Regions from separate parts of the Mus musculus genome. Here all the other regions are reported to be linked to region 3. Evidence: microRNA targets listed by miRTarBase, many of them from high-throughput screens and not tested one by one. Region 3 holds a microRNA gene; each other region holds the end of a gene's coding sequence. Distances are between the middles of the regions.

Region 1 (4,854 bases), not on the chromosome of region 3:
TGACTCGGAAGAGAGGCTGATCCTTCGCGAGGAGTTCACCAGCCGCATGCACCAGCGATTCCTGGACGGCAAAGATGGGGGCTTTGACTACAGGTGCCTCCCACCCCCAGCCCAGCACCTATGGTCCCAGGCAGGTCCCTGCCTTTCCTCAGACAGCCTTCCTTCGCAGTGCTAGAGTGCTCGGGAATAGTTCCCCACTGAGGGACCTGGTGTCAGTCACTCTGGAAGTTTCAGATCATTGAGGGGAGGTGGCTGTCCCTCTCAGAGCCTTAGCCCCTTCATCTGTAAACGAAGGGGTAAACTGAGCCAACATTTAACGCAGTGTTGACGAAGCATTAAATGAAGCCTAATGGGGCACACCTCATCCCAGCACTTGGGGGACAGAGGTGGTTGGATCTCTGATCCAGCCAGGGAGACATGATGAGACCCCCATCTCAAGAAAAAACAAGAGAGGGGCTAGGGGAGGGAGGGAGAGAGAGAAAGATAACATACCGTCATCCTAGTCTGGCAGTTCAGGACCCTGCCTGCTCACATCCAGGTCCAATGACATGGGAACTGTGTCCACAAATAGCTTCATTATCGCTGCCATAGCGACCATGCTGGGATCCCACAGCTCTGACATCAGTGATGTTCATCCACTGCTCGCTGGGGCCACCAAGGCTATGCAGTGTTGGCTCTGGCACACTATGAGCCAGCCCCGCTACTACACTAAGTGACCCCGAGGACACCAGAAGAGGGGGCCCAAGCCTGTTCCTTCAGGAGGGCAGCAGATACCCAAATGTGTCCCACAATCAGTTTACACTTTTGTACATCTGCTGTGTCCAGACCCTAGGGTTAAAGCAGGGATGGATGTAGCCAAGGATTACCTTCCTGAAAGAAGGAAATCTCCCCTACAGCAGGAACTGCCCGACTTCCACTGGTGAGGGAGCTCTGAAGACCGTGCGGGGGAGCAGAGCAGTGGTCAGAGCCTCAGTGGGGTGTTTTCTGAGCAGCTCTGCAGAGAGCAAGGGTGAGGACAGGTGCAGGCACCCTGAGGCACAAAGGAACTCCAGTGCTGAGGCAGGACTGAGACGGCTCATCCCACAGGAGTGGAGCCTTGGTGATTCAGGTCACACAGTGGAACTGGGGTGGGTGCCACATAAAAGCCAAAGCCTTAGAAGCCCGAGGGCTGTGGTGTCGTCACACCTTCCGATCTGTCAAAGAAGCAGGCATTTTTTTATGTAGGCTGATTGGGAAAACACCTCTTTAGGATTCCCAAAGGCACAAGCACACTCAGGTGGTCAGTTCCCGAGCTGGGTCTGCTATGACGCCTGACAGCTTTCTTCTCCGCAGCACGGTGGATGACAACCCTGACTTTGACAACCTGGACATTGTGGCCCGTGATGAGGAGGACCGGTACTTTGATGAAGAGGAGCCTGAGGATGTGTCTAGTGCAGAGCTGGGTGGGGACTGATGGCTCTCACCCTTGTAGCCACCCCGCAGGCCGCTGGCTAAAACCGGCTTAGTGACTCAGGCCCCTCTAGACTTGGCCCACCTCAGACAATGCCTCCACTTGTGTTTAGGGGTTCCCACTCCTCTCTGGGAACATTACTGCTCCTCTGGCTCTGGCCCCACCTGTCTTTTCTCTTTGAGACAGGATCTTATTATATAACTTGCCTGTGTTACTTGCTTTGTAGCCAAGGCTGGCCTGAAACTCAGTCCTCCTGCCTCGGCTGCCCCCAGGTTGCGTGTACAGGCGAGTCCCTATGCCCTGTCTACCTGTCTTGTTCTTACTCACTTTCTCCCTTCATGCCACTGCCCCACCTCTCGCTTCCTAAGTCTAACCTCTGCGCATCCACCTTGTACCCATCTGTGTCACGGGTGCTGTGCCCACAGCAGGGCCCTAACAACTGTCTGGTGGCTGCAGCTGCCCCATGGATGCTAGTGTCCAGCTCCACCAGAATGCCAGCGCAGCTCTTGAGTTTCTCCACCTCTCTCTGCCAGTGTCCTACGCAGGGCCCTCTTGCTTCCCCCAAGCTCCCACCTTACCCTCCATGCCTCCCCACCCTTGTTCACGCCCATGGATCCCCTGGCCTTGATGTCTGCCCCTCTTTCTCAGCCTTTACTGCTCTGGCTCTCTGGGTCCCCCTCCCCAGGCCTGGCAGCCAAGGGCATCAGAAGCCTTCCCTGTGGGTGGAGGTTAGGGGAACCCAGGTGGCACCAGCCTCTGCTGCTCCTTTTTGGACACTAGCTGGGAGTGCCGGCAGAGGCAGGGCTGGGTACCACAGGGCCAGCTTGAGTGTGGGAGGAACTTGAAGAGGGGGACTCTCCCCTACCAACCCCCCCTTTCCAGCCACAGTTTTCCTTTTCCTCACTTCCTCCACCTCCACCTCCCTTCCCTCTCCCTCTCCCTCTCCCTCTCCCTCGCCTGTTTACACTCCCCAAATACGCACAGGCTGTTATCATGGGTCTTGAGTCATCACACACAGACACACAGCCTGCCCCAGTGTCCCTGCCCCCAGCTGGCCACAGGGCCCGCCCCACAGAGCCCCCTGCTGCCCTGGGCTAATGAAAGCCAGATGGCTGCCTGTGACTCAGCCATGGCCTGTGGGAACCCAGACGCCCTACCTTCCCATGCCCCACACCCGGCCCCTGCGTCCCCAGCAGACAGAAGCAACCTGCTCCTGTGGGGATGGAGGCCAGCGTGTCTGGGCCTGAGAATCCAAACTGCTGTGGCACTGAATGGCAAATGGCTGCATTCTGCTCTGGCCATACCTGAAGGAACCTAAAACTGCTTTGTAAAGCCAAGGTCCTGACCCTGGGTCTTGGCTCTGCCCTCTGTATCAAGTAAACTCACCCAGTGGGGTAGAAGGTGTTCTCTTAAACTGTTGAAAGATCCTCAACAGCTCAGCCTGGGCCAGGCCTGACTGACACCTCCTAACAGACCTGGAAACAAGACTGTTGGTCGCCACTTGTCTCAAAGGATGGAAAGAACCCAGAAGTAGCCATTTGCATCTTGAGACCACCTGGTCTCCCATGCAGAACCAAGACTGGAACACACTTGGCCAGTGTGCCTCCATGTGTCCTCATTGGACAGCGGTGGAGATCCGAAGACAGACTTCCTCCCATCTCGGGGGACTGTAGAAGGTGCAGGTGTTGTGGTACACAGTATGGTGGCAGGTGGTGGACTGTTATACCCCTACCCTTACCTCCCCAGAGGACGCAGTGAGTCCCCAGCTGGGATCCCACCACACTGGACAGGAGCCAGGAGTGCTCTTTTGGGAAGTTGTGGCTTAGGTATTTTTCACAGTTGACCAGTGTTCTGTCCGATCATTAAACTTATTTAAGATAGAAACTGCCATCCATTCATCTGTTATGTAACTTTCTAAAAGAGCTGAGCTGCACAGCCATTGAGTCAGGATCTGGAGTTAGTCAAATGGCTCAGATGAGCCTGCAAATGAGAGACAGAGGTGGGGCCAGCCACCAGGACAGGGATTAGATGAGGAGACAGGAAGAAAGGTGGAGACAGAGGAGGGGGAAGAGGCGGCAAAAGCACACCCCGCTTGCTCGAGCAGCCCCCACGGTGGCTGGCGCCACTGCTTCTGATCTGGATCCTGGGGATGGGGTGGGCGGAGAGGCTGAGTCAGGGAGGGAGAGCCCCTCTTTGGGCATCCGGCCCCCACCTCCATGTCTCCTGTTTGTCCTGCCCTGGACAGGTCTCTGCTGGCTGCTGCCATGCACCAGTGACACCCCCACCTCTCTGCTGCCTGCTCCCCCAGCCTCAGTTCCATTGTGGGGAGGTCCCTGCCTGCCCCACACTGTCCTCATTTCCTACCTATCCCATCTGTACCCCTGTGACTCCCATCTTCTCCCTTTTCTTCCTGGCTTCTGTCATTAATCCCCAAGCACACTTCTCCCTTGTCACTCACCAGGCTCTGACACCCTTGTCAGTAGCCTGACCCCACCCCCCACCCCAGCCTGTACCCTCATTTTTTCCCGTCCCCCTGCTGTCTCCTGGTCCATCCCCTTCCCTGCCTGTCTCTCAGACCCTGGGAAATCCAGGTCAGAGCTCTACTGGTGGCCCCTAAGAGCCTAAAACAAGGGGTCACCACCTTGTCCCCACCCACGAGAGGAGAGCAAGACTGCCGATCTGTCTGAGTAGAAGGAAATGTCTGTGCTGTGGCCTGGTCATCCCCCACCCCCCAGGACCTGCTGGGCTGCTGCCGCCCCGAGTAAACAGCCCTGGGGATATTTATACCAAGGCCGGGCGTAAGGCCAGTGCCCACCACAACCCCTGCCCTGCCCTACCCGCTGCCACAGCCAGCCCCGAGCCAGCGTGGCACCCGCCAGCAAAGGGACACCGCAGACAGGCTCCACTCAGCACAAAGGCCAACCAGCGCTGGTCATACAACAGCCTATGGCTTCACATAATAGGAACTTTCCCTCCTCTGAAAACATCAGCATATGGTGAAGGGTTGCCCCCTCCCCCCCATCCTAATGCAGACACCTCCAAACCCTGTCAAAGGTGACCCATACAACTCACAAGCTGAAGTCTCCAGCCCACAGGTGGGCATACCAGTGCTGGGTCTACCTGCTCCAAGTTCCCCACCTTAGCTGAAACCAGCCCAAAAGGACATGCAGGCCTCTAAGCCCCATGAGGCTTCTCACACAGACACCAAGTGTGCTGGAGATACCACGGATACAAACTGTGAAATGTGTGTTAGACTATGAACAAAACATACTTATCACAGAATGCTGCCCTTGGGGCTGAGGTTGTAGCTAAATTGGTACAGTGCTTGCCTGGGGGTTCATCCTCAATGTTGCATAAAATCTGTAATCCTAGCACGAGAGAGCAGTGGTTCTCAGCCTTCCTAA
Region 2 (4,854 bases), not on the chromosome of region 3:
CTTTTTCATTTCATTTCCTCACAAGCTAATGGTCTACCTTTATGAACTTACTCCCAAACCTAGAATTGGACAGGAAGCAATCCTTCATCTTCACACCAGCTCTGTGAAACGCCTGGAGGAAGTAAGGGGCAGTTGAGTCACTGTTTGAGACCAGTGGCCTTTTTCTCTATCCACGCTTGTTATAATAGTATCAGTTATCTGTTACGTCATTTCGATTACGTCATTACGTCATTTCTAGGATTGTGTGTGTCTGTCTATGTCTGTGTCTCTTTCTCTGTGTCTATGTGTATCTGTTTGTCTAGGTATGTCTGGATCTGTTGTGTCTATATGTATCTCTGTGTCTGTTAGTGTGTCTATGGGTGTTTGTGTGTGTGTCTTTCTATGTCTGTGTCTCTGAAGAGTTGTCTATGTATATCTTTGTGTCTAAGTGTATCTGCCTGTGCCTATGTGTGTGTAATCTACCCATATGTGTGTCTGTACCTGTGTCTGTGTGTCTGTGTGTATGTATGTGTCTATGTCTGTGATTTCAAAAGAAAAGATTTTTTGAGCCTCCTGTGTTCTGATAATATAAAGCATTGTTCTTCCCCTCTGAAGTTGGGAAGCTGTTCTCGAGTGTACCTAACCTGTGGTTTAATACTGTAGTCCCACGGTTCTTGCAGCCAGGCAGGGACTGTGTGGTGGGGCAGTTCAGAGCAAGGCTTTGCTGTGCAGGGGTCAGTATGCTGTAGATGGCAGCCCTGCCACTCTAAGCCTTGGCATTCCAAACTACTCGTCTTCGTTTTGAAACTTGGATCTCTATTATTTCACATGGGTGCTTTGCATTCTGCTCAGTCTCTTTTGACTTTGCCTGTCTCCGCTTCCTCTTTCAGGCTGTCGCGATTACTTCTCAGACTGCCCGCCTTGCGGCTGATGAACGCTACCATTACTGAGGAGTTGTTCTTCAAAGGTCTCATTGGCAACGTACGGATCGACAGTGTTATCCCACACATTTTAAAAATGGAGCCTGCAGATTACAACTCTCAAATAATTGGTCACAGCCTTTGAGAGCTGAGGTCACCCCGCTATGAACTAAGTTTACTGTTCCTTCTCGGGACACAAGAAACCAAATGGAGCTGTTGCTTCCAGGGAGTCTGCGAATAGTAACTGTAAGAGTAACCAAAATTGAAAGTATTTTTCTTTTGGATTCCTTAAGAAGAAATCAAGCGACCAGGCAGGGGTCAGGAAATATACTACCCTGTCTGTCCTCTAGGGATGATTTAAAAAGGTACTGGGCTGCTCTTGGTGAGGATGACACCTAAGACTGTCTCCTCCTGACCATCTACACTAAGCTTTCTCATTCTATTTTATAAAACAAATAAACTAGTCTTTTCCCCCCTGAATTGCGTTCTCTTCCTGTTTAATTCCATTGAGCCAGAACATTAATAATTAAACACCTAAGCAGGGACTTCTTACATCTTACTTATCCATAATCATTTTAGTTACCAGGTCAAAGGTTATCTTATGCTCACTTATATAATGATAATATCAGAGCTATAGGAAGTAAGAAATGAATATATATATACATATATATATATATATGTATATGCTTTTATAAACATCAAGCATATAACACTCTCGTTGCTGGCAATGAGACACAAGCCATTTGTATTTTCTTTCATAGTGTAGTAGATTATTAGTTATAAGCACTTTTATTCATTGCGGTAGAAAATTAGTCTTGAGAATAAGATGGGGATCCTGTTTTAAATTTGGGGGTTTACTGTGTTTTAAACATAGTACAGACTGCCCCCAGGATGTATTAGTATTTTAGAATGGATACTAAAGTAGTTGCTTTTTTCATTCCACAGAAAGCATCTATCCTCTTCTCAGACGGGGGTTCAGCTTTTTCACCCTGCCCTGGCCTTTAGCCGTTTTTATTGGGTCCTTTTTAAAAAAACTCACCCAGTTTGCTAAGTAATGCAATTATCAAAGCCAATATGGTTCCAAGGTGAGTTAAATAATTCAAGCAATTGATAATTCATAAAGGCAAAAGACTCTGCACTGATTCTTTTCCCTGCAGAGCCGAGGAAGGCTGCTCTAACAACCTCAAGTTTCATTATTTGCTACAACCAAAGCATTTTAGACTCCTCAGTCTTCCACACCAATATGACAGGCATCAGTCGCTCTTTGTACTGATTTTATAATGGATTCCTTTAGTAAATCTGTTCATCTATTTGTTGATCTTCTCCCCCCATCTCTCCTCTTCCCTTTCTTCTTTCTCCCTCTCCCTCTCTCCGTCCTTCTTTTCCACATCTCTGTTTTGTTTTCTTGAGACAGGATCTTGCTACCCAGCCCAAGCTGAACTCAAGTTTGCCGTTATCTTCCTGCCTCCCACTCCCCGTTGCTGGGATTATAGACATGCACCACACGCTGGTATTTATTTTTCAAACACAGAGATTTTATTGCAGTTAGATTACATTCTTTATTATTAATAAAAAGTTTTGCTGAATTTTTCTATGGGGGGTGGTGGATTTTACTACTAACAGTAGTAACAAAAAGTTTAAAAGTGTAGTCTTGCAAATGTTACCAACTTACTAGGAGGGCTTTATTTCCTGTTTCATCCTGTCAACAGTTCTATTTATAAGAAGCTGCCAGGGAATAGTGCATAGAGCATAAAATGCTCACGCAGAAAGTCTCAGTAGGGCATGTGTAACCTGCATCCCAGCACATCTGTAGATGACGATGTCATATCACAGTGTCAAAATGTTGGCTCCTTTGATACCTTTATCATCTCAAGATAATAAGCCAAGGATTCACCAAAAAAAAAAAAGTGTCCTAATGGTTATTTCTTTGAGATATTTTTCCTGATGAAATTTGTAGTTACATTGGGAAGTCTTTTTAAAACTGTATTAAAATGTGACTTGCATTACAAATTTCTGTATCCTGTCAATGTATTTTATTTCAATGACCTATTTATTTGGTGATTGGATGCCCTCTGCGTCATAGGGCATCCCAGTGGGAGAGCTTGTGCTTAGGTTAGCATTTACAAGGCCCTAGGTTCAGTCTCCAGCAGTAGAAGGGAGAAAAATCATATAAGCATTTTAAGAACAAAAATAATGGCAAGATGGCTTAGAGGGTCAGAGCACTTTCTGTGGAAATGCAGCTATCTGAGTTCAGTCTCTTTCCTTTGTGCTCCCCACACACACATGGAGTTTAAGATTATATAAACAAAGAAAACCTGCATCGATTTGAATAAGTACATAAAGCATAGAGAATATGATTTAACTAGTTTACTGTTACATCTGTGTAACAGTACATTTACATGTACATATACATATAAAATGTAGTCAAGAAGCAAGAGCATCAAGTCTAGGTAATAGTTGGGAAGGGAGGAGGAAGGTGCAAACGGGGAAGGATATAGAAGGGGCTTCAAAACTATTGGCAGTATGTCAAGCATCAAGGTTTTGCGGTTAGCCACCCCAAACCTACCAGTTAGAAGTGTGCATTTTCACATGAATGTATAATACAGACAGAGGTGGTCAGGGACAACCTATCTCCATTCAGTCAGAACAGGGGTCTGGCAGAAATCATGGGTTTAAATCTCTGTAGTCACTGAGTATTAGTGGCTGTTAGCTGGGACTTGCAGTGGGACAGAATCTGGGCATGGCCAGAGTCTCTCTGTTCTGCTCCTTACTGCCTACTGGCTGTGTTCTAAGGGAAAGAGCTGGAGGCCAATTTGCCTTCTATCCTGCTATCAGAAGTCTCCTGTGACTCCCCTGCATTCTAGTCATCAAAAAACATACATATTGTGAGGAATATGTAAAGACACACAGGGCTTGGAAACAATATGCAAATAACGCAAAATATTTTTAAAATGAAATTAAGAATATTAGCTGCTCTTGCCAAGGACCTGGGTTTGATCTTAGCCTACCTTGCAAGCGTGAGAAAAGAAGTTACAGCTCAGAGCCCATGTAGAAAATTCGGGTATGGTGGCACCTTTGTAGACTCAGTTCCAGGGATGTGGAGGCAGGTGTATTCCCGAGGTTCGCAATCTGGCCAGCCTTGTCGACTTGACACTTAACTATTTTTAATCTTTAATTTTATTAATCCTAGTTTCTTCTTTCTTTTCTTTTCTTTTTCTTTTTTATGGCTAGGGGTTTGCCAGTATTGTTTATTTATTTTATTATTTTGTAAAGCACTAACTCTGTGATGAAGTCTACCTAGTGTCTGTGCTTACACCTTGCAACAATAAAATAACAAATCCTTCAGGTATTTTACTTAATCTTATTCTTTGCAATTCTTCATCACTCATCTACCAGCATACCGACGCTTAATGAATTCAAAATCATACGCACTCTGTATTAAATGTACAATACCGCTGTGGGGTCAGTAATGCATTTCTTAGCTTCTAGTGCTATAAGGAATTTTTGGAATGTGCGTCATCGTTGTCTGGAGGAAGAAACTTATTTCGACAGGAGAAACTCCCATCTGGGAAAGCTTTGCTTGGCGTACTTCTCCCCGCAGGGTCGCTTTCTGGGTACAGCCTCCGAAAACATTAATTTCACCTTTAGGAAGACACCAACCTGTACTGTAAAACCCCAGATAATCCTCCCTGCGCGACCTCCAGCTCTGCGCCTGCGTAGAACGACCTCCGCGGCCGGTTGACGAGCAGGAACCTCCAAACGGTGGCGCCTTGAGTATCTCGTCTTCCGCCCGGCGGGTTTTACCCGAACACGGAAGGGGCGGACCATGCAGATGAGAATGGAGCTGGTGGAGGTCCTGAAGCGCGGCGTGCAGCAGGTCACCGGCCACGGCGGCCTGCGGGGCCTCCTACGGGTTTTCTTCAGGTAGGAGGCCAGGGCTAGACCCTGGGTCTCT
Region 3 (4,854 bases):
ACTCCACTGTACAGACAGAGAAACTGAGACCCAGGAAGATTAAATACCTTGCTTAAAAAACTAGGACCCTGTGAGGTGATAAACAAGAATCAAATCACAGAGTCTATGCCCTTGGACGCTGGCTCTGGCATCCACATTCCTGAAAGCACCACATTATCCTTCCACCTTTTGCAAATTATAAAGTTAAGTATTTATTACCAAATCTTATATTTCAGCTGCCCTGTAACCTAGGTCAATTCTCTGCTTTCTCACCCACTACTACTCTGAATTATTCAGATTTTTCTATAATTATGATTGCTTTGGAAATGCAGATGAGAAAAAATATCCCTTCTTATTTAGTTTCTGAGATCGCATTCCACCTGGATCTGAGGGAACATGAAAGCCATGAAATGATTCGTTAGCTTTGATGACTGTGTAATCGGGGCATGCGCTGGGGGTCTTCTACAGAAGGAATCAATCCAGTGGGGCAGTGTGTGCCATTACACCTCAGCTACCCCCCCCCCATTGGATAATCAGCTACGTAGTGAACAGAGAGAGGGTGAGCAGGGAGAACCCCCACACGCATTTGAATCTTCAGATGCACACAGTGGTTCAGGTTTCAGTGGCGTCTTCAGCTTGAACCAATCTCAAGGAATGAGTTCATAAAAAGAAAACAAATGTGATTTAGTCTCCAAACAGCCCAGCTTTGAATGTGAGAGCCTCCCCCATCTCCTTTTGCACCCTTTCAGCGGGGAAATACAAATAGAGCAAGAAGAAAAATACCGTATAAAGCTCTTTGTTCTGTACCACCTATGTGTATTGGTTTTAGACTGCTGTTCACTTTGAAGGCCATCCAAGGTGCTTCGTTTTTCTTATAAATACAATACCTTAGACACTCCTCAGAGAGGGAAAACAATATTCCAAATATCAGCAGATAATAGCCACGGCTCTATCTGACCCTCAATAAAAATGCTAAGAGAGCCTTCATTCCAAGCCCTTGAATTTCCTTTATTGAAAATCACTCAGAAAGTTAAACATGAAGGGAAATCAAAAGAATGCCTCCTGGGTTTCAGAAATAATGCCTTATTCATCGAGAAGCCAGGAAAGAAATCATTCTCAGGATGGAAAAGGCTTGGATGGGAAAGTGCACAGTCTCATTATTCATCTACTTATCACACACACACACACACACACACACACACACACACACACACTCGTCATGAATGGAAAAACAATCCTAAATGTTCCTTTTCCCCTTCCCTTTATCAAAGCTCTCATTGAGCTCAAATTCAGAGCTTGGCTGGCTACAAGCACAGACAGATATATATTAAATAAAACTACCTCCTTCTCCCTGTGGGCGGCAGAGAGGAAACACCCTTCTTCCCAGGCTGCTTCACTTTGATCAGAAGAGGATCTAAGTACTGTCATGGGCTGTTCATGATTTCTTAAAATGCAAAAATTCAAGAAGAACAAGGTCCTCTTAGGAAAGAGATGGCCTTAAAAAAGAGACTTTGGACTTCACTTTTAGACAGAAAAAAAAAAAAAAGCACCCTATTAGATTTGGCCACAGGAAATGGGAAATGCTCCAGCCTGACAGAAGCTAACCTATGTGAACACTTCATGCAGGAATTGGAGTCCTCTCCGTTCTTCACTGGAAGGAACTGTTGTTATAACTGTGATTAGGCCAACCACACTGTCTCAGACTCTTCATGATTCAATCAAATGTCTCAGTGATAGCCTCAGAAATCCACATTAAAAACTGATCATATTAGCCTGCGTGGTGGTGGCACACACCTTTGATCCCAGCACTTGAGAGGCAGAGGCAGGCAGATTTCTAAGTTCGAGGTCAGCCTGATCTACAGAATGAGTTCTGGGACAGCCAGGGCTACACAGAGAAACCCCACTCTGAAAACAAATGAATGAAGAAAAGAAAAGAAAAGAAAAGAAAAGAAAAGAAAAGAAAAGAAAAGAAAAAGAAAAAGAAAAGAAAAGAAAAGAAAAGAAAAGAAAAGAAAAGAAAAGAAAGAAGGGAAAGGAGTGGAGGGGAAGGGAGGGGAAAGGAAGAGGGAGAGAGGGAGGGAAGGGAAGGAAAGGGAAGGGGAGGGGAAGGGGGAGGGTGGAGGGGAAGGGGGAGGGTGGAAGGGGGAAGGGGAAAAGGGGAAGGGGGAAGGGGGAAGGGGGAAGGGGGAGGAACAAAAAGTGATCATGTGGACCTTTCCTCTCCCCTTTCCCTTCTCTTTTTGGGGTGTCCTGGATCACACTGACCCAAAGACAACAGTGTATTATAAGAGAGGAGCAGGGGGCTGGAAAGTCCAAGGTGTTCAGGCTCCTAAATCATAGAGAATGCATAGTCTGAAATCAAGTCTTCTCACGTCACCAATTTCCCTCTGAGCTTCTAAGAATCAGTCTCATCTGTGTGTGTGTGTGTGTGTGTGTGTGTGTGTGTGTGTGTGTGTGTGTGTGTGTATGTGTGTGCGTGCGTGTGTGTGTTTAAATAAGTACTTAGCTCTAGCTGAGTGGGGTCACCCTCCAGAGGTGCATCACAGGCTATGTCCAGACTGTAGTTTTGGTTATGTCCTTGTAAGACGTGTGGATGAGTTGAGCAAACCCCTATTTCATTATCTGTGAAGCAGAGAAGCAACAGCTCTCTTCCTACCCCACAAGGCATGAGGAGCGACTTGCAAAAGCTCTCTCTCCAGTGTCCACTCCCTGAAACCATCTCGAGTGTCACAGATGAGAAAGCTTGTGCACAGGGCTCTGGGTGGATCCTCGGCGAGGAAGAGCAGGAGAGCATGATACGAACCATGAAGGCTTGGCATTCTCAGAACTAGCTACACATCTTCCCAGACAGTCCCAGGACTCAGAGTTGAACACGAGAAAAGGAAGGAAGAGAGGAAGTGACACCGCTCCCCGTGGCTCTGCAGCTTCTTAGTGCCACACTTGACTAGATGGAAACTAAAAATAATATACAATTCCAGAGCCAAGGCTGCTTTGGTGTTGTTTATCTCTGGCCTACTTCTGATGGCAGACTCTACAGACCAAGGCACAAACCTGAAAAGTGGTATGGAACAGTATGAAAGAGAGAAAATACAGTTTGCGGCTCCATATTGTAAAGCCAGGAGTGCAGAAGATACGAGGTCTAAGGTCATGAAGACCTGGTATATCAGGCTAAGACATTCTCTCTCCAGCCTAGAACTGGTTCTCAGCCTGTATCACATGTAACAATGATGCAAACGAGACTTATAAGGAATAATGACCTCCACTGTAATCTTACTGGCCTCAACGGTCAGGTTTTCACTTAGGATACAGATTAGTGACAGCGAAAGATGGAAATGATGGAGATAAAGAGAATTGTGTCTGTGTATCTATGTGTGTCTGAGTGTTTATGTGTGTATATAAGTGTGTGTATGTGATTGTGTGATTGTGTGTTCATGATTGTGTCTGTGTATACAAGTGCTTGTGTGTGAGAATGTCTGTATATCTGTATGTGTGTGTCTGTGTGTATGTATATGTATGTGTGATGTGTGCATGTGAGTATATGTGAATATGTGTACGTGTCTGTGTATATGAGTGTATGTATGTGAGTATATCTGTGTGTCTGTGAGTGTATATGTGTGTGAGTGAGTGAGTGAGTGTGTGTGACTGTGTGTGAGTATATGTGATTGTGTGTGAGTGTGTATGTATGTATGTGTGTGAGTATGTGTGTCTGTATCTGTGTGTATGTGTCTGGGTATATCTGTGTGAATGTGTGTGCATGTATATGTGTTTGTATGCATACATGTGTGTGTGTGCATGTATATGTGTATCTCTAGTTTCTAAAACAAGAATAAGTAGAGCCTGAATCTGGGCAGCAACATAGAGCAAGAAGCTGTCCACTGTTGCTCACCACTTCCATCAATAAAATGCAAGTCCAGCACCCTGCTAGGCTCCTCAAAGGTTGAGTCCCAGGAACCATGCCTCTCGGTGAATAGAAAGTTCCCTACAACTTGTCACAATCACAAAGAAGGTGGAAGCAGGAGGCTTCAAAATATATCTGCGGGTTGCCTGTCCTTGAACCAGCTTGGATTCTTTCTTATAGTCTGTCAAAGCAATCTGGGAGGGCCTGCTGCCCGAAAACAAATGTAAGAGACCCTGGAATGCTGGTGCAAGGGTCAGGGAGGAAATGGGCAGCTTTGGAACAACAGGTCCCAGCTGCAGAGCACAGTCACGTGACCACACCTTCCCTCCAAGCAAGGCGTTCACTGCCTGCTCTCTGAATCAGTCGTTTTTTCTAGAAGTGCTGTTTCCTAATGGGTTGATCTTTGCTTCTTTGCTTTCATATGGAACACAAAACCAAAGCTAAGAAGGGGCCAGAGAAGCCTCCTAGGGAGCCCAAGAGTCTGGGTGAGCAGGGTAGAAAGCATTGCCAGTCTGGGCTGGAAAAATTGGTTTTCACAAAAATACTCAGGAATTCCACAGATTTGGAACAAGTCAAAGTAGGACAATCCTACACTAGCCCTACACCCAAGTTAGCATCTTCAAGGCCTGACTCTCTTCACTTCTCAGATCAGGATGTCAGAAGCTACTTTCCCCCTAGTGCTGTCGAATTTGTGTATTCCATCCAGACAGGCCAGTTGCATCCCAGAATACAGTCAAATTTCAGTCCATCTCTGAAGGACATTTTGATTTTGCCGAATCAGTTCTTAACTAACGTATCTTAAAGGAAGCTCAGGTAGTGAACCATAGACAAAATAAAACTTATCCATTGTCCTGTAGCTACGGAGTCATTTCGATGTAACTATATGACGTAACTACATGGGTCATTATGATATAACTATATGAGGTCATTATGATGTAACTATATGGAGTCATTATGATGTAACTATATGATGTAAC
Region 4 (4,848 bases), not on the chromosome of region 3:
GTTAGCAGAGAACCTGGGTTTAATCTTTTAAAAGCTCAACAACCACAGGTATTATGTTAGAGTGAGAACCTAGCTAGTGGCTCCCTCTTTTCCACATAAGTGGCCTATCTCATGCGGCCTATGCACAATTGAACCCTTGACAATACCTCCACCTACAAGTGTGTGACAGGTCTGTCAGAGAGTGTTTAACCAAATGGATCTCCTCCTGCTCCAGGTACTCAAGACTCGGCTGACCCTTCGCTTCACTGGCCAGTATAAAGGGCTTCTGGACTGTGCCAGGCAGATCTTGGAACGGGATGGTACCCGAGCCCTATACCGAGGCTACCTGCCCAACATGTTGGGCATCATCCCCTATGCTTGCACCGACCTAGCTGTTTATGAGGTGTGTGTCTCCAGAGGGGAGAACATGGCTTTGGTGGTCAGCCTGTATCTCTCTCTCTCTCTCTCTCTCTCTCTCTCTCTCTCTCTCTCTCTCTCTCTTTGGTTTTTCGAGACAGGGTTTCTCTGTATAGCCCTGGCTGTCCTGGAACTCACTCTCTAGACCAGACTGGCCTCGAACTCAGAAATTTGCCTGCCTCTGCCTCCCAAGTGCTGGGATTAAAGGCGTGAGCCACCATGCCCGGCTCTCTCATTTTATATGTATGAGCACAATGTCGCTGCCTTCAGACACACCAGAAAAAGGCATCAGATCCTATTACAGATGGTTTTGAGTCACCGTGTGGTCGATGGGAACTGAACTCAGGACCTCTGGAAGCGCAGTCAGTGTTCCTTCTCTTAAATCTTGGTTTTTTTAGACTAAGACAGCATTTGGATGCTGGGAACTGAACTTGGGTCTTCTGCAAGGGACAAATGCTTTTGACCTGGGAGCCATCTCTCCAATCCACTGTTTTTGTTTGATCCCGACACCCAGACAGGATTTCTCTGTATAGCCCTGACTGTCCTAAAACCCACTCTATAGACCAGGCTGCCCTCAAACTCAGAGTTCCAAAGCCTGTTGTTTTTTAAGATAGGGTCTCACTATGTAGCCTTGTCTGAACTAGAACTCAGTATGTACATGGAGGCTAGCCTCAAATGTAAAGAGATCCTCCAGCCTCTGCCTCCTACTGCTGAGATTAAAGGTGTGTGCCATCGTGTCCAGCTGGTTTTGATTATGGGATTGGGTTTTAGTATGCAGCCTTGGCTGTCCCTGAACTTGGAGACCCACCAGCCACTGATTCAACACTGGAGGGACTAAGGTGTGCACCACCATGCCTGTCTTGACTCTGAGTCGGTATCAAGAGCATTCTTGCCTCCTTTCGCAGCTACTCCAGTGCCTGTGGCAGAAGTTGGGCAGGGACATGAAGGACCCCAGTGGCCTCGTCAGCCTGTCATCTGTAACACTGTCCACGACCTGTGGCCAGATGGCCAGTTACCCACTGACTTTGGTGCGCACAAGGATGCAGGCTCAAGGTCAGCCTGGCTCCAGGAGCCATTACACATAGCTGTTCCTTGCCTCATTCCAGCTCTCTGTATCTTTTCACCTTTCCCACCAACTTTCAGCCTCTCTATAACCCATTTAGAACACCTTTGCTAAGTACTGAACCCACCAAAGCTTATGCTCACCCCTAATCTAACCCTAGCCCTCAAGTTAACATGCCTATCACCCATCACTTGGAAAGCCAGCCTCAGCTACTTTGAGGCTGGGGCTCAAGGTACAGAGTGTGCCTTATATGCATGGGTTCAATCCCCAGTACCACATGAACTGGGTGTGATAGTGCTGTTATTCCAGTAGGAGGTACATGCAAGGGAATCAAGAGTTCAAAGCTAGCCTCAGCTACATATGGAGTTCTAGGCCAATCTGCACCATATGATACCATGTCAACATACATACATACATATATAACAATAACCAAATGATCTCTACAACATTCCCTCAGTGTGATCAGATCCTTCACAGTGAATCTCACATCATACCCAGTGCTGACCTTGTCTATGTCTATCCCCAGACACTGTGGAGGGCTCCAACCCCACCATGCAGGGAGTCTTCAAGAGGATACTGAGCCAGCAGGGCTGGCCGGGGCTGTACAGAGGCATGACACCCACTTTACTGAAGGTGTTGCCAGCAGGCGGCATCAGCTACCTGGTGTATGAAGCCATGAAGAAAACCCTGGGTGTACAAGTCCTGAGCAGATGACCTGCCCTGAACAAGAAGAGAATGGAAGACCCAGTGTCCCTGAGTCTCAAAAAGCACTCCAAGGCTCAGGCTTTAAGGCCATTTTGGTTTGCAAAAACCACCCAGGACTCGGATTAGAAAAGCGCTGGGAGTCCTCCAATTGGGATTCTGAGTTGGGATTCCAGCCGGGTTTTTGCAGGCTTGTTCAAGAGAAGATGCAGACAATGAATAAAGATAGTTTTGGACGTCTGTGTCTGAGATTAGCTGGTTCTGGGTGGGAGCTGGGAGATGGGGTGTATCGTCTAGGGTGCTTGCCTAGCATTTATGAGATCCTAAGTTCAACCCCCACCCTGACGACTTGGGGATCAGGAGGACCTGAGATTTTGGGGTCCAGGCTAGGAGCTCTAGGGGTCTTGAACTCCGGTAAATGGACCTGGGACTTCTGGGCCCAGGGTGGCAACTGGAAGTTTGGACTCCTGTGGGAACTTGGGGTTCCTTCTTAGTCCAGGGTTGGGAGCAGGAGACTTGGACCCCTGTGGGGGGCCTGGGTCGAGGTTGGGAATAGGCTTGAAGTTTGAGGAGTTGGTGTCATGAGTCTTGGAAGTGAAGGTCCTTTGAGGGAAAATCTTCACCCAATTTCGGGCCACCACTCCCCCCACCCCCCAAGGCTTCGGGCAGGCCACGGGCAAGGCCTCCCCAAGCCAGGCTACTGGGGCGCTGACTTAAGGTCCTGCCCATAGTTCCGGCTGCTGAGCACTACCTCCCACGTCCTCTGCCACTCACTTCTGCTCCCACTAATCCGCTCCTGCCGCCTGGTAGCGGGTTCCACCCCAATGCAGATGCGCTTTCACTGGCTCTCAGCAAGCGGGCACTATTACTTCTGTTACTGCTATTTGTCCACAGAGGGGTCAATCATTGAACGCTTGCCCTTGTCGCTCAGCCATTGGCTCAGAAGTCAGAGGACAAGGATTCTGAGAAAAGTCACGTCCAAATCCAAGCGCATCCTCCAAAATGCTTCGGGGACTGGATCAAATGACTGCCAATCTTAGCAAGCACCGCCTCCTAAGTGTATTCATTAGCTGGTGTTGACGACTATCTTGCCGAGCGCCCGCCCAGCTCATCCCAGAGAATTTTCATAGGCTCCGCCCTCAAGGCCACGTGACTGATCAGAGCCGTCACTCTCATCCTAGAGCCGCCCCGAGAAGGTGGAACTCGCGCTTCATTGGGCCTCCTGACTTCTCGCGTGACTTCCAATTGCCCGCCCAGCGCCAGCAGCCCTGGGCTTATTGAGTCCTATCTTCGTCAGTCACACCGCGCCTCCCGCCCCCTGCATCTTCCGAAGCTCTGACTGGTCGCCCGGATTTACGGCCCACGATTGGCGGGCGTAGAGTGGTAGCCGTATACTACTGGCTGTTCCTCGGCGTCCGTCAAGCCGGTGGCGGGAGGAGGTGCCCCTCTTCCCCCTCCGCGACCCCCCCTCCCCGTCGCCTTCCCAGCCGCTGGCTTCCCATCGTGCTCCGCGGCCGTGTGGAGCGAGGCCTTGTTCCCGCGTTGAGCCGCCGCCGCCTCCGCCTCCTCAGCTTGAAGCCTCCGCACCAAGCCCGTCCCCGCCGCGCCATGTCGGACTACAACACCGGAGGTCCCCCGCCCGGCCCGCCGCCTCCCGCTGGCGGCGGAGGGGGAGCCGCGGGTGCGGGAGGAGGCCCTCCGCCGGGCCCGCCGGGCGCGGGAGACCGGGGCGGCGGAGGCCCTGGCGGCGGCGGCCCGGGTGGAGGAGGCGCGTCCGGGGGCCCCTCACAGCCTCCCGGTGGCGGCGGCCCTGGGATCCGCAAGGACGCCTTCGCCGACGCCGTGCAGCGGGCCCGCCAGGTGAGGGGGCCGCGAGGGCGCGTGCGCGCGCGCGGGGGAGGGGGCAGCGGCGCGCGCGGGGTCGCGGGAGGGTCACGTGGGCGGCGGGCTCGGGGCGGGGAGTCTGGGGCCGTCACGGTGTGAGGGTGACCCTCTGCGTGCGTGTAGTTAAGGGTGCGTTGAAGGGGGGATCTCCGAAAACTAGACTTTGCACTGGACGGTTTCTCTTGGGTACCAGGGCTTGCAGCCTTTGGGGTCCCTGAGACCCACCCCTGTACTTGCACCAGGTCTTCTCTATTAGGAGGGTTGCAGCTTTGGAGTTCCCACGATTTTTTTCCTGGGTGTACTAGAGGATTCCTCTAGGACCCATAAAGGTTGCAGTCTGGGACAGTGTCCCCAAGAGCCACCCCCCGAGCTTGCACCCGTTATTTCCATTCAAGATATAGGGTTTGCATTCTGAGGACCACTCTAAAGTCCAAGACTGTTTGTGATTTGGAGAGGTCTCCTAGTTTTCCAAAGGCCTGAGCTTGAATGTTATGAGGATGTCCCCAAGAATCACTCCTGGGTTTTCACTTAGGCACCCCCTTAGGACCCATGGGGTTCTAGAAACTGAGGCAGATCTGTAAGAGCAATTCCTGAGTTCATGAAGGATGGGGTCAGAGATGCTGTGAGACCCCTCTTTGAACCCTTGGAGTCTTAGGGTCCCCAAGGGCTTCTCAGGGTTTGTAAAGTTGCATCGCAGGATGGTAGGAGACCGCTATTCAGAGACCTGAGGGTTCAGAATATATTAGTTCCCAAGACGGAGTCCTAGGTTTGCACAGGGACTGAGCTTGGCCGTATACTTAGAA
Region 5 (4,854 bases), 68 Mb from region 3:
ATATCTAATGTTTAATACTAAATTGTTTCAAAACATACAAAATATTCTTTGGGAGTTAAGCATAGTAAAAGAGCATAAAATATTAAAAATGAAACATTAAGAAATATACTCAAAAGCTCTTACATGATACCATCTGACATAGGGAGAGAGTATTTAAAATGCGTTATATATCTGTGTACATTGTCTAACAATTAGTTTACTTAAAAAAGATTATCAGTGTTTCTAGGAGAGAAATTATTTTATCAGTAAGTGTATTTTAATAATTTCAAAATAGCAAAAATTAGCCAGGCGTGGTGGTGCACGCCTTTAATCCCAGCACTTGGGAGGCAGAGGCAGGTGCATTTCTGAGTTTGAGGCCAGCCTGGTCTACAAAGTGAGTTCCAGGACAGCCAGGGCTACACAGAGAAACCGTGTCTGGAAAAAACCAAAACCAACCAACCAACCAAACAAACAAACAAAAAACAAAAAGCAAAAATTTCAAAAGCTCTTTGAGGTTAAACATTAAGAAAATGCTAATTTCAAGACAGTGAGAAAAATTATCAACAATATTTCCATGATGTTTGTAGAACATGATTTTAATATTTTCAACTATTGATATTCAACAAACAGAATAGTTATCTTAAGAAATATTTCGTTGTTATATCTCCCTTTTCATTTCTGATTTTATTAATTTGGATACTGTCTCTGTGCCCTCTGGTTAGTCTGACTAAGGGTTTATCCATCTTGTTGATTTTCTCAAATCAACCGGTTCTGTTGATTCTTTGTATAGTTCTTTTTGTGTCTATTTGGCTTGATTATTTCCTGCCATCTACTACTCTTGGGTGTATTTGCTTCTTTTTGTTCTAGAGCTTTCAGGGGTGCTGTCAAGCTGCTAGTGTAAGCTCTCTTCAGTTTCGTTTTGGAGGCACTTAGAGCTATGAGTTTTCCTCTTACCACTGCTTTCATTGTGTCCCTTAAGGTTTGGTGTGATGTGTCTTCATTTTCATTAAATTCTAAAAAGCCTTTAATTTCTTTCTCTATTTCTTCCTTGACCAAGTTATCATCGAGTAGAGCGTTGTTCAGCTTCCGTGTGTGTGTGTGTGTGTGTGTGTGTGTGTGTGTGTGTGTGTGTGTGTGTGTGTGAAAGCACAGTACTCTGTGAAAACACTTTCTAGGTGACCCTGACCTGGACTTTGAAGTCAGAGTAGTCTCTAAGAGGGGCTTGACTTGTAATTGAAGCTTGAAGAACAAGTAGAGACCAAGCAGAGAGAGGGGCACTGAAGTCCTTTCATAGGTGCTCTCAGACACTTGGCTTCTGTGAACATTAATTACTTATTGCAACCACCCATTAAATAAGCTGTACTGTACTTTTCAGTTGAACCAACGTGTCTAAGGAAACAAATTGTTTGAGTAGCCCAGGCTTCAGCCAAGATGTTCTTGAATACAAGACTGTTTGTGCTCTTTGAAATACTGAAGTTTCAAGTTGTCCTCTGCTAATGCCCGGTTTCTTGTTTTGTTTTCATTACAGTGCGGAAGGCAGTCACGTGTCAGGACAGAGCAACGGCCGGGATCCTCAGGCCTTGGCTAAGGCTGTGCAGATCCACCATGATACCCAGCACACTATGTATTTTGCCTGAGAGTCTTGGAAAAGAACTCAACAAATTTGGCATCTCACGCATCCTCAAAATGTTTCCGACGCCTACTGCCTCTCTCAGGTGGTCCCTACCAGCAGCTCAGAATGGTTGCACTGAGTCTACTCTGCAGCCCTGTCTGATACATCAACAAAATTGAGCCAGTTGGGTTTTTTTGTTAAAGAAATAGATACTCATAGATTGTGTTTTCTGATGCACTGGGCAGAATTTTTACCTCAACGTGCAAAGGCTGATCAGCCTTGACTTTCTAAAGGACTTTCCAAGAAGGGTTTCTATGGAATCTTTTGCTAGCTGTGGTATTCACCGCATCTAGTCTTATAAGAGGAGTATTTCCTTTTTTCTGTGTTTATTGAATGGTGTGCATAAGTGGGAGAGAGAAACCAAACGGCCTGTATCATTTCCATGTAACTTTTTAATTGGGTGGGTCCATAGACCTCTTACTTCTGACTTTGCCACTGTCAATGCCTTTAAGGAGCATCAGCTTTTGAAAGTTTTACAGAACTCTGTTACCTTCACTGTTCTACTGATCTCTTCGGGCCTGCACTGTGGGGTACAGGCTGCCCAGCAATTGCACTATATTTGGCTGCAGATTCGAACAGGCAGTTCCCTTACTTGACTGGCTTTTGTGAGTCTGTGACATAAGCAGATGTGATGTGTGTCACAGGGACAGATACACTGCCGTGGTAAAAAGTACCCATGTTTTCCATATTTGGAAAAAGAGAATTAGCTTTTAGTATTTTTCCACATCTTCAAACATGCCCATTTTATGCTGCTGTGTGGTATGCTAGATCTAAACGATCTTTAAACTTCTCTCATAGAAAGTTAACTTTGGCAATAAGCATTTGTAAGGCCCTTGCCCTTTCTCCTGACGTCGTTTTCTAGATGAGATTTCAGTATGATTTTATCAACTATTTCTTACATATCATAACTGGGATATTCTGAAACCAGTTTATAAAGACACAGATTTCAATGTCCTTATAAATAATTGTTTTTAAAACAAAACAAAACAAAACTTATTTTATAGTCAGTGTCCTGTCACTTTAAAAAAAAAAAAAAGAAGCTGGAACCAGGATGCTTTGTGATCGGTCAGGCTTTGCCGATGCATAAGGCACATTGAGCAGTACTGCACTTGAAAAGAAAGTACCAGCCAGTGAAAACCTGGTTTCCCTGGGAATCAGGGGTGCACACACGGCTGCCTACAAGACAGCCTGAAATGTGCTTGGTGGCTCTGCCTTTCTCTTTTTCAACTAAAACTCTGTAGAAGTTGTTGTTGTTGTTGTTGTTTTTCTTTTTCTGTAACAGATTCTAGATTCCCTCACAGGAAGACAGGATTCCGTTTCTTGTCCAAACAAAGGGAATTGATGTAAAGCAAGAACAGTTAGAACATAGGGAAAATGTATTCTGTATTTAGTGTAGATAATACCTTGTAAAGGACAAGTGTTACATAGTCAAGGTAGTTGCACCCACGGTTTCCAGCCCATGTTTTACTCTAACCTGGAAGGTCAAGGAGTAAAAGGTAAGAGGCTCTCTGTAGAGCCACACTCCTCATGGCTGAGGAGGGTGCTGGGGAAGGAAGAGACAGGCACAATATGCTAAAAGCAATTTTGCAGTCTCGGTGTAGAAACCATTGGTGGGAAACACTGGATCAAATGGGAAAGGGTGTTTGCTTGAACTCATTAATTGGTCCAAGGTTCAAATCTGTTAAATGGGCCCTCTCAGAATCCCAGCAATAGAAAGCACTGTTTCCCTTCAGTGGCTTCAGCAAGTGTGTAGATACATTCATGTTTACATTTCTGTGTGCAGTCGCTCAGCAGTGCCACTGGTGTTTGCTGAGCCTGGTCTCCGAGAGAGTTTATAATGTCCGTCTAGTCCTATAGCACATGCGGATGGGTGCAGACATCTTTAATCTCTGCAGACAGTGGGAAAAGCAAGTCCTGTGACTGAAGCACAACACAGGCGTGAAGCGACAGCAGACGTCCGTTCCCTGAGATCTTCCTTTTTTTCTGCAAATACCTCCCTGGGATAATACAAATCCAGACATGTTGATGAATGGCTGACTGCCGCTTTTATTCACACCTGTTCAGGGAAAGCACAGAAAATGCTCTGTAGCACAGACATTCTGGACCCAAGAGGAGGGGGAACAAAGGAAGCCTTTTTAGGAAAAGGAAAACTTGCCTGGAGTCTGTGATGTGAAGAACTCTCGGTGGCTGGCAGCTGACAGAAGGCACCGTACCTGCACAGGAGCGCCTCGGGCTTGCTTGTTGACAATGCACAGAAGAGACTCTAGCCATCTTCCGACAGGATGGAACAGTGAGCGAGCTGTGTGCCCGGAAGCCCCATCCACGGTCCTGCAACTGAGTTGTAGGTTTGCCCATGAGCGATATGCCTGAAACACCACTGCCGGTCCTAGTATGCTGGGGTGAATCCGTGTGGAGCTGGAGGAAAAGCCAGGAGACCAACTTTTGTAGAAAAAACGGTATCAATAAGTGTGTGAAGCCGTTGTTCTGGGCAAGTGGAAAGAAATATGGAAGAGTTAGGATTACTTGGGGGAGGGGAACTTGCTGAGGGGTGAACAGTCCAGAGGTGATCACTTGAGAATCAGAACTGCAGTAATACCACCGTAAGCAAATCTGAATGCATAGTTTTAACTTAACTGGGGTTGACAATTCAAATAGGTACCTCCCCCCACCCCCCCAAACAAAAACCTGACTGAGTTGTTATGCATGTGTCAATCACTGGGAGGTGTGCATTCTCTAGTAGTGTTAGGCTGTTTGGTTCTTTTAAATGCAGCCTATTTAGGTACTGTCATGTAGTGTGGAAGATTTTGGTGCGGCAACTCTAAAGAATGACATTTTTGGGGCTAGGGAGCATAGGACATTAAGAACGGGAAAGACCCAAGTGTTGAACCAATTGTGTTTTTTTGTTGTTAGTTGTTGAATCCTGAGTTGATGCAGTCAGCATTCTGGGCAGGCGAACCACCTTTGTTCTTACTGTTAAGTTCTTTGTGCTGCTTCCAAAGATGATTTACAAGCAGGGATGTTCTAAATGGGTCTGTACCTTAGGGTCCGGGGTCCAGCCCATATCCTAGGTCAAAGCCTACCCACCTGGCTCAGCTACCTACTGCTTTAACCAGGCTCATCCTCTCTACTCCGCTGTGGTTGCCCTCCACGGATGTGCTCTGAGATTCTCTTGCTCAGTGGCAAGGTGGCTGCTCTGCTTTCAT
Region 6 (4,854 bases), not on the chromosome of region 3:
CTTCAATGTTCTGATTAGAGAACATTTGGTCAGAATGTTTAGGGAACATCATGAGACTGTAAAGAAGCAGTAAATAGATATTCTACTAAAAGTATTAAGTAGATATTCCAGTTACTCTGATCTGCCAGGCATTGTTTATATCCCGGTACTGAAATGCCCTGCTATACTCCCAAATCTGTTCAAATAAGGTACGTCAGTTTAAAGTCTATTGAGAATAGTAGCCTTCAAACATCCCTGTTAGAAGTCTTGACACACTCATCATTAAGTTCAAAGTTCAGAAGTGAAACTTACTTTGTGCTCATACTTGGTGTCTCATGCTGAGATTGCTTCAATATTTAGAAGCAGGAGACAAGAAAATAATTGCTTTCAGGTCTACTGTGTGCCAGCCAGTTACCTGTTTCCTTAATCTATGAATATTCTTGGCTTTGAGGTTTATTGATTATTAATATTAGACAAACTCTTAGACTTGAACTAAAACAAATATAAAAATGCAATTTAAGTTTTTTCACTGTAATAAAAATTTCTTTATATGTATCTCAAAAATCAGATGTTTATGTAGGGAATTTATGGCCCTGTGATATGATATGTATAATGTTTAAGTAAATAGATGAGTTTTATAATATTTTTTTGGGGGAGGAACAAAAATTCTTAGTATTTACTTAGGAAAAGTTCACTTTCTGTGCAAGGGGAAAGCCATTGGCAGAGAGCCACTAGACTACAGGCCTGCTGTTAATGGGGGAGGGAGAGGCTTAATCTCCTGAAGAAAGAAGGGAACTGAAGAAAATCTACATCATCTAAGGCTTCTGGGATTTTTTTTTTCATGCAGGACCTGGTGTTATTCCTTTGAAGGTTACTTTTAGAGAGGCACACTATTTTATTTATTGTCTTTTAAAGTTAAGGTACTGTGCTATCTTTCTGGACCCTTGCTTTGACCTTAAATATGTTTCCTCTAGATGGACAAAGTTAAGATTTATAGAATAGGTGATACACCTGGTTTTGAGCTGCCCAAAGATAGCAACACCTGCAAACACTCATACTCATCACGTGTGTGGTAGTTGGTTATAGTCCAGATTTGTATCTTCTCCTACTTTAGAATACCACATACAATCACTTCATTCTTTTTCAGAGGACCTACCGCGCCATGTACGATTATAGCGCCCAGGATGAAGATGAGGTCTCCTTCCGAGATGGTGACTACATTGTCAACGTGCAGCCCATTGATGATGGCTGGATGTATGGCACCGTGCAGAGAACCGGGAGAACGGGCATGCTCCCAGCAAATTACATTGAGTTTGTGAATTAATTCTTTCTCCTTGCCCTTCGAGCTTTATTATGATGTATTCCAAACTCAATCTTTTTAAAAGATAGATGATACTTTTCAGATAACTTGGCAATTATTTTACAATAATGTATCCTTACTTTGACAATTAGACACACAGGTACCAGGAAAAAAGGAATTGACTTTCAGGCTGGAAATGGCAGCATCCATAGTAATTCCTGTAAACAAAACCATTAGGTCTGGAGACCTGGTGCTGCTAATTGTGTTTGTGGTTTCATTCAATTGGCTATCCAACCCTTCTGGGAAATGTATTTTTGTAGACTTTAATAGAGATGTTGATTGTCCCTTAAGTGTAACAAATGTATGAAATTTCTTAGCTGTCACTTGGAATCATCCATAGCTAATTCTCATAGTCCAGCAACACATCCAATAATTTAAAAACTGTTCAGCTTTTAAATCATTGGATAATTTTCAATTCAAGGGAGGATCACCTAATATAATAAATAAATGGAAACAGTGGCAGAATGGGTCTGGTTAAAATCATATTGACTGTAGCCTTAGGGAGTCGGCAGGGAACTTAGCCTTTCCCTAGGCTGAGCGGGAGCTATTTAGTTCTCATGTGCTTCATGGTGTAGCCTATCTCCATTTATGTTCTGTGGAGCAGTGCATCTGCTCAGGTCCCCAGAATGTCAGGACCAGGTAACTTCCCAGCTTCTCTGCAAAGGGCAAAGTCTAATGTCATCTGTACTATTTCACCAGTAGCCTCTATCCTGTTGCATGTCTGTGGGCGTGAGCTTCTGTAACATGGCAACATCTGTAACAGCTGCTAGCCCATCCTTGTTACTAAAGTCAACCGTATGGCCACTCTCTCCCTGCCCTTCTTCTAGTTGCCCGCTCATTGGAAAACATTTTGAAAAGTTGCTTGAGGCTTTCTTGCTGCATTACACTCTAGTTTTGAAAGACTCACACCTTAGGAACTACATATATACTCTAGTAAATAGGAGACTTATGTATTTACTGGATAGCTTTCACTCACTTAATGCCACCATTGATTTAAAAGTGGAGTGAATTGAACAGCCTCGACCGTAAGCGGAAATGGAGTATAAAGTAGCTGAAAACCAAAAACACAGAACAGCAAAGGTTTGCTCACAGTTAGACAATCTGGTCTTATACTTTGGTAATCAGTCTTCAGATGCTGGGATAGAAATCTGGCCATTAAATATGTTCATAAAAAGGCTTCCCTTTTCCATTCCCGTTTTTGTTTTCTAAGTCACCTTCACGATTAGATTAAAAAAAGTCATGAGTGATTTTTTGGTGGGGAGGGATGTCCAACAGATAATCCACTAAGGAAGAAATCAGTGTCCGGTTTTGAGTAGTTTGCAGGACTCACACACTTGTGAGTAAACTTGTCTGGAATCTGCAGTTGAAGTCACCTGGATGTTGACATTTATTGCAACTCTGTTTTTTCATAGTGCCTCTGACTGTGACTTGCAGCTTGGTGGCATTCTTGTAAGCTCTGAAAATGAAGAGAGTAAAGTCACAAAAATATAAGAGGATACTGCGACTGTGGGAATATCTACTTTACACAATATGCTTAAAGAAATAAACAAAGCATCCACAACAAAAACCATTCAAATGAAATGTTTATAAGGCCAAAGTCCAAAGTGGGTTCATGTAAATCTTTAGAAAGTGAGCCCATACTTTTGAAAAATATTAGTTTTCTTAGATTTGCTTTAAGGAAAAGTTTTGTCACACTAAGCTGTATTTCTGTGACACAGATAGAAAATTGAAAAGGAAAATTCTGCAGATAACTAGAGATTTTTCTGGAGAGGTTGTTTTTATAGACTCATAAGTAAGTAGCTTACCTAATCTTCACGTAATTTAAGTAACCAATCATTATTAACTTTCCTAACTGCTTTCATGTCTTGAACACACACCTACAAAGATAAACTGCACTTGCAATAATTTGCAAAAATCTGTACCCGAAAAACAAGGGTGATAAGTTGCTTCATTTATGTGATATGTCTTTTATGCTTCCAGAGGCAGACCATTTGTGTGTGTGTGTGTGTGTGTGTGTGTGTGTGTGTGTTTGTGACTATTTTTCAAAAGTAGTCAAAATTAAAATGTTAGGATAAATGCAGGGCAGGTATGATTTTGATCATAGTATATGTGTAGGAATCTCAACAGAAGCCAACTTTGAAATGATGCTTAACATTTGCTTGTCCCCACAAAGTAGTGACTCTATGGTCCATGTTTTTGCCACTCATTAATTTCAAAGTCAGACTTGATGAGTGTGAGAGTCAGTACATATTTAGGAGATAGCCGTTCTAAATATTGAGCTTTGCATAATGTTTGCTTAGCAAGATATTTCTGTTTCAAGTCTTTCAGAATTAAGATATGATCTGGAGCTGGCAGCTGTGGCTCATACCTTTAATCCCAGCACTCGGGAGGCAGAGGCAGGCAGATTTCTGAGTTCGAGGCCAGCCAGGTCTACAGAGTGAGTTCCAGGACAGCCAGTTTTCCATACAGACCAAGGCAGAGCAATATATGGCATGCTTTCGAGATTATGCGTCGAGCCTAGATGTGTCATAGCCAGGTGCCATCTTTTGCAGCATCTTTTTAAGAAATACTATATTCTTAGCACCTTTTTCGCTTTCCACATGCCTCCCTCCCACGTGCAGTTTGGCAGTCAATATGTCACATGTAACATTGACAGCAATAGAAGAATTTAAGAACAAGCCCCTTAGAAATTGGAGTCAAAGGAGACTAAATGCCAAGCACAGAGGGCACGCACCTCTTCCTATCTGATGGATTCCAAGCTTGCCAGGAGCACAAGAAGGTACTTGATACACTTCTCAAAGTCTCTGAAAACAAATGCCTTTGGTTCATAGTCCTCTTGAGAAAAGTTTAGAAACTTGATATAATGCTTTTGCTATAAGCTTTTGTAGTAGATTTAAGAAAAAAAGCATTTGTTATCTAGAAAGCTTTTTCTTTCTAGCCTGTGACAAAATATCTTCCTATCTTCATTTTGCTTGCACATCTGCAGCACAGCCCAGTTTGCAACTTTGATCTGGTTTTCATTTTCCATGGAGGCTCTGCCTCTTCCCATGTCTCCCAGCCTCCACACAGCACCCAGGAATGTCTAAGCACAATTTCTACAAGCATCTTGTAAGGGGGATGGATGAGATTAGTCCAGTTTCTCTCTTGCTACTAGGTCCTTTGCTTGAAGATGATGAAGATGTTTTTAGTTAGGGATCTTCTCTCTGCTGGAGGCCTATAACACTATAGGAATTAGGGGAAAACCTTTTCCATAATTGAGAGCAAGTGACACACCTACTTTTCAGGTTCATCCACCTCCAGTGGAATGTTTTCAGTCAAATGAGAAAGAAAATAATTGATCTTTAATAATACAGCCCTATATTCAGTAGATGCAGTTTATACTAAGGTTACAATATAAATATATACAAAATAGGTGCCTTTTTGATTATGCTTGTTTATCATTATGGTCTTAGAAAGGAAACCAAGCAAGCAAGCAAGCTTCTGCATATTCTATAGTAATATTTTATGATACATGA

What was found. Region 3 holds the annotated microRNA mmu-miR-3095-3p (UGGACACUGGAGAGAGAGCUUUU, at 2,662-2,684, opposite strand). A microRNA usually pairs through its seed, bases 2 to 8, with sites in the 3' UTR of a target mRNA and lowers its output. Matches are read on the target gene's strand: a 7mer-m8 pairs with bases 2 to 8, a 7mer-A1 pairs with bases 2 to 7 and ends in A, and an 8mer does both.
Region 1: miRTarBase lists Ccdc97 as a target of mmu-miR-3095-3p. Seed matches in the 3' UTR shown: 8mer at 1,923-1,930, 7mer-m8 at 1,982-1,988 and 7mer-m8 at 2,485-2,491.
Region 2: miRTarBase lists Nr2c1 as a target of mmu-miR-3095-3p. Seed matches in the 3' UTR shown: 7mer-m8 at 2,806-2,812.
Region 4: the mRNA of Slc25a41 is a reported target of mmu-miR-3095-3p. Seed matches in the 3' UTR shown: 7mer-m8 at 2,206-2,212.
Region 5: miRTarBase lists Ago4 as a target of mmu-miR-3095-3p. Seed matches in the 3' UTR shown: 7mer-m8 at 2,658-2,664.
Region 6: miRTarBase lists Nebl as a target of mmu-miR-3095-3p. Seed matches in the 3' UTR shown: 7mer-m8 at 2,637-2,643.

The regions. Positions count from the first base shown.
Region 1 is chr7:25,709,592-25,714,445 of GRCm38, reverse strand. It overlaps Ccdc97 (coiled-coil domain containing 97), which reads left to right. Exons shown (of 5, transcript NM_028771.3): 4 at 1-93; 5 at 1,333-3,334. The coding sequence ends at 1,453. Among named protein-coding and RNA genes, the nearest start is that of Ccdc97, 7.0 kb to the left of the region's middle.
Region 2 is chr10:94,194,308-94,199,161 of GRCm38, forward strand. Nr2c1 (nuclear receptor subfamily 2, group C, member 1) reads left to right here. Exons shown (of 14, transcript NM_011629.3): 14 at 870-2,907. The coding sequence ends at 1,044. Ndufa12 (NADH:ubiquinone oxidoreductase subunit A12) reads left to right here and starts at 4,728. Exons shown (of 4, transcript NM_025551.4): 1 at 4,728-4,823. The coding sequence starts at 4,738.
Region 3 is chr4:58,438,362-58,443,215 of GRCm38, forward strand. It overlaps Mir3095 (microRNA 3095), which reads right to left and starts at 2,737; the gene lies at 2,651-2,737. The region is part of intron 3 of Lpar1 (lysophosphatidic acid receptor 1); the gene reads right to left.
Region 4 is chr17:57,030,321-57,035,168 of GRCm38, reverse strand. It overlaps Slc25a41 (solute carrier family 25, member 41), which reads left to right. Exons shown (of 7, transcript NM_175333.3): 5 at 215-382; 6 at 1,302-1,449; 7 at 1,986-2,397. The coding sequence ends at 2,173. Khsrp (KH-type splicing regulatory protein) reads left to right here and starts at 3,662. Exons shown (of 18, transcript NM_010613.3): 1 at 3,662-4,021. The coding sequence starts at 3,770.
Region 5 is chr4:126,489,985-126,494,838 of GRCm38, reverse strand. Ago4 (argonaute RISC catalytic subunit 4) reads left to right here. Exons shown (of 18, transcript NM_153177.3): 18 at 1,508-4,854. The coding sequence ends at 1,616. Among named protein-coding and RNA genes, the nearest start is that of Ago1, 24 kb to the right of the region's middle.
Region 6 is chr2:17,345,143-17,349,996 of GRCm38, reverse strand. It overlaps Nebl (nebulette), which reads left to right. Exons shown (of 26, transcript NM_001362722.1): 26 at 1,127-4,854. The coding sequence ends at 1,303. Among named protein-coding and RNA genes, the nearest start is that of Nebl, 120 kb to the left of the region's middle.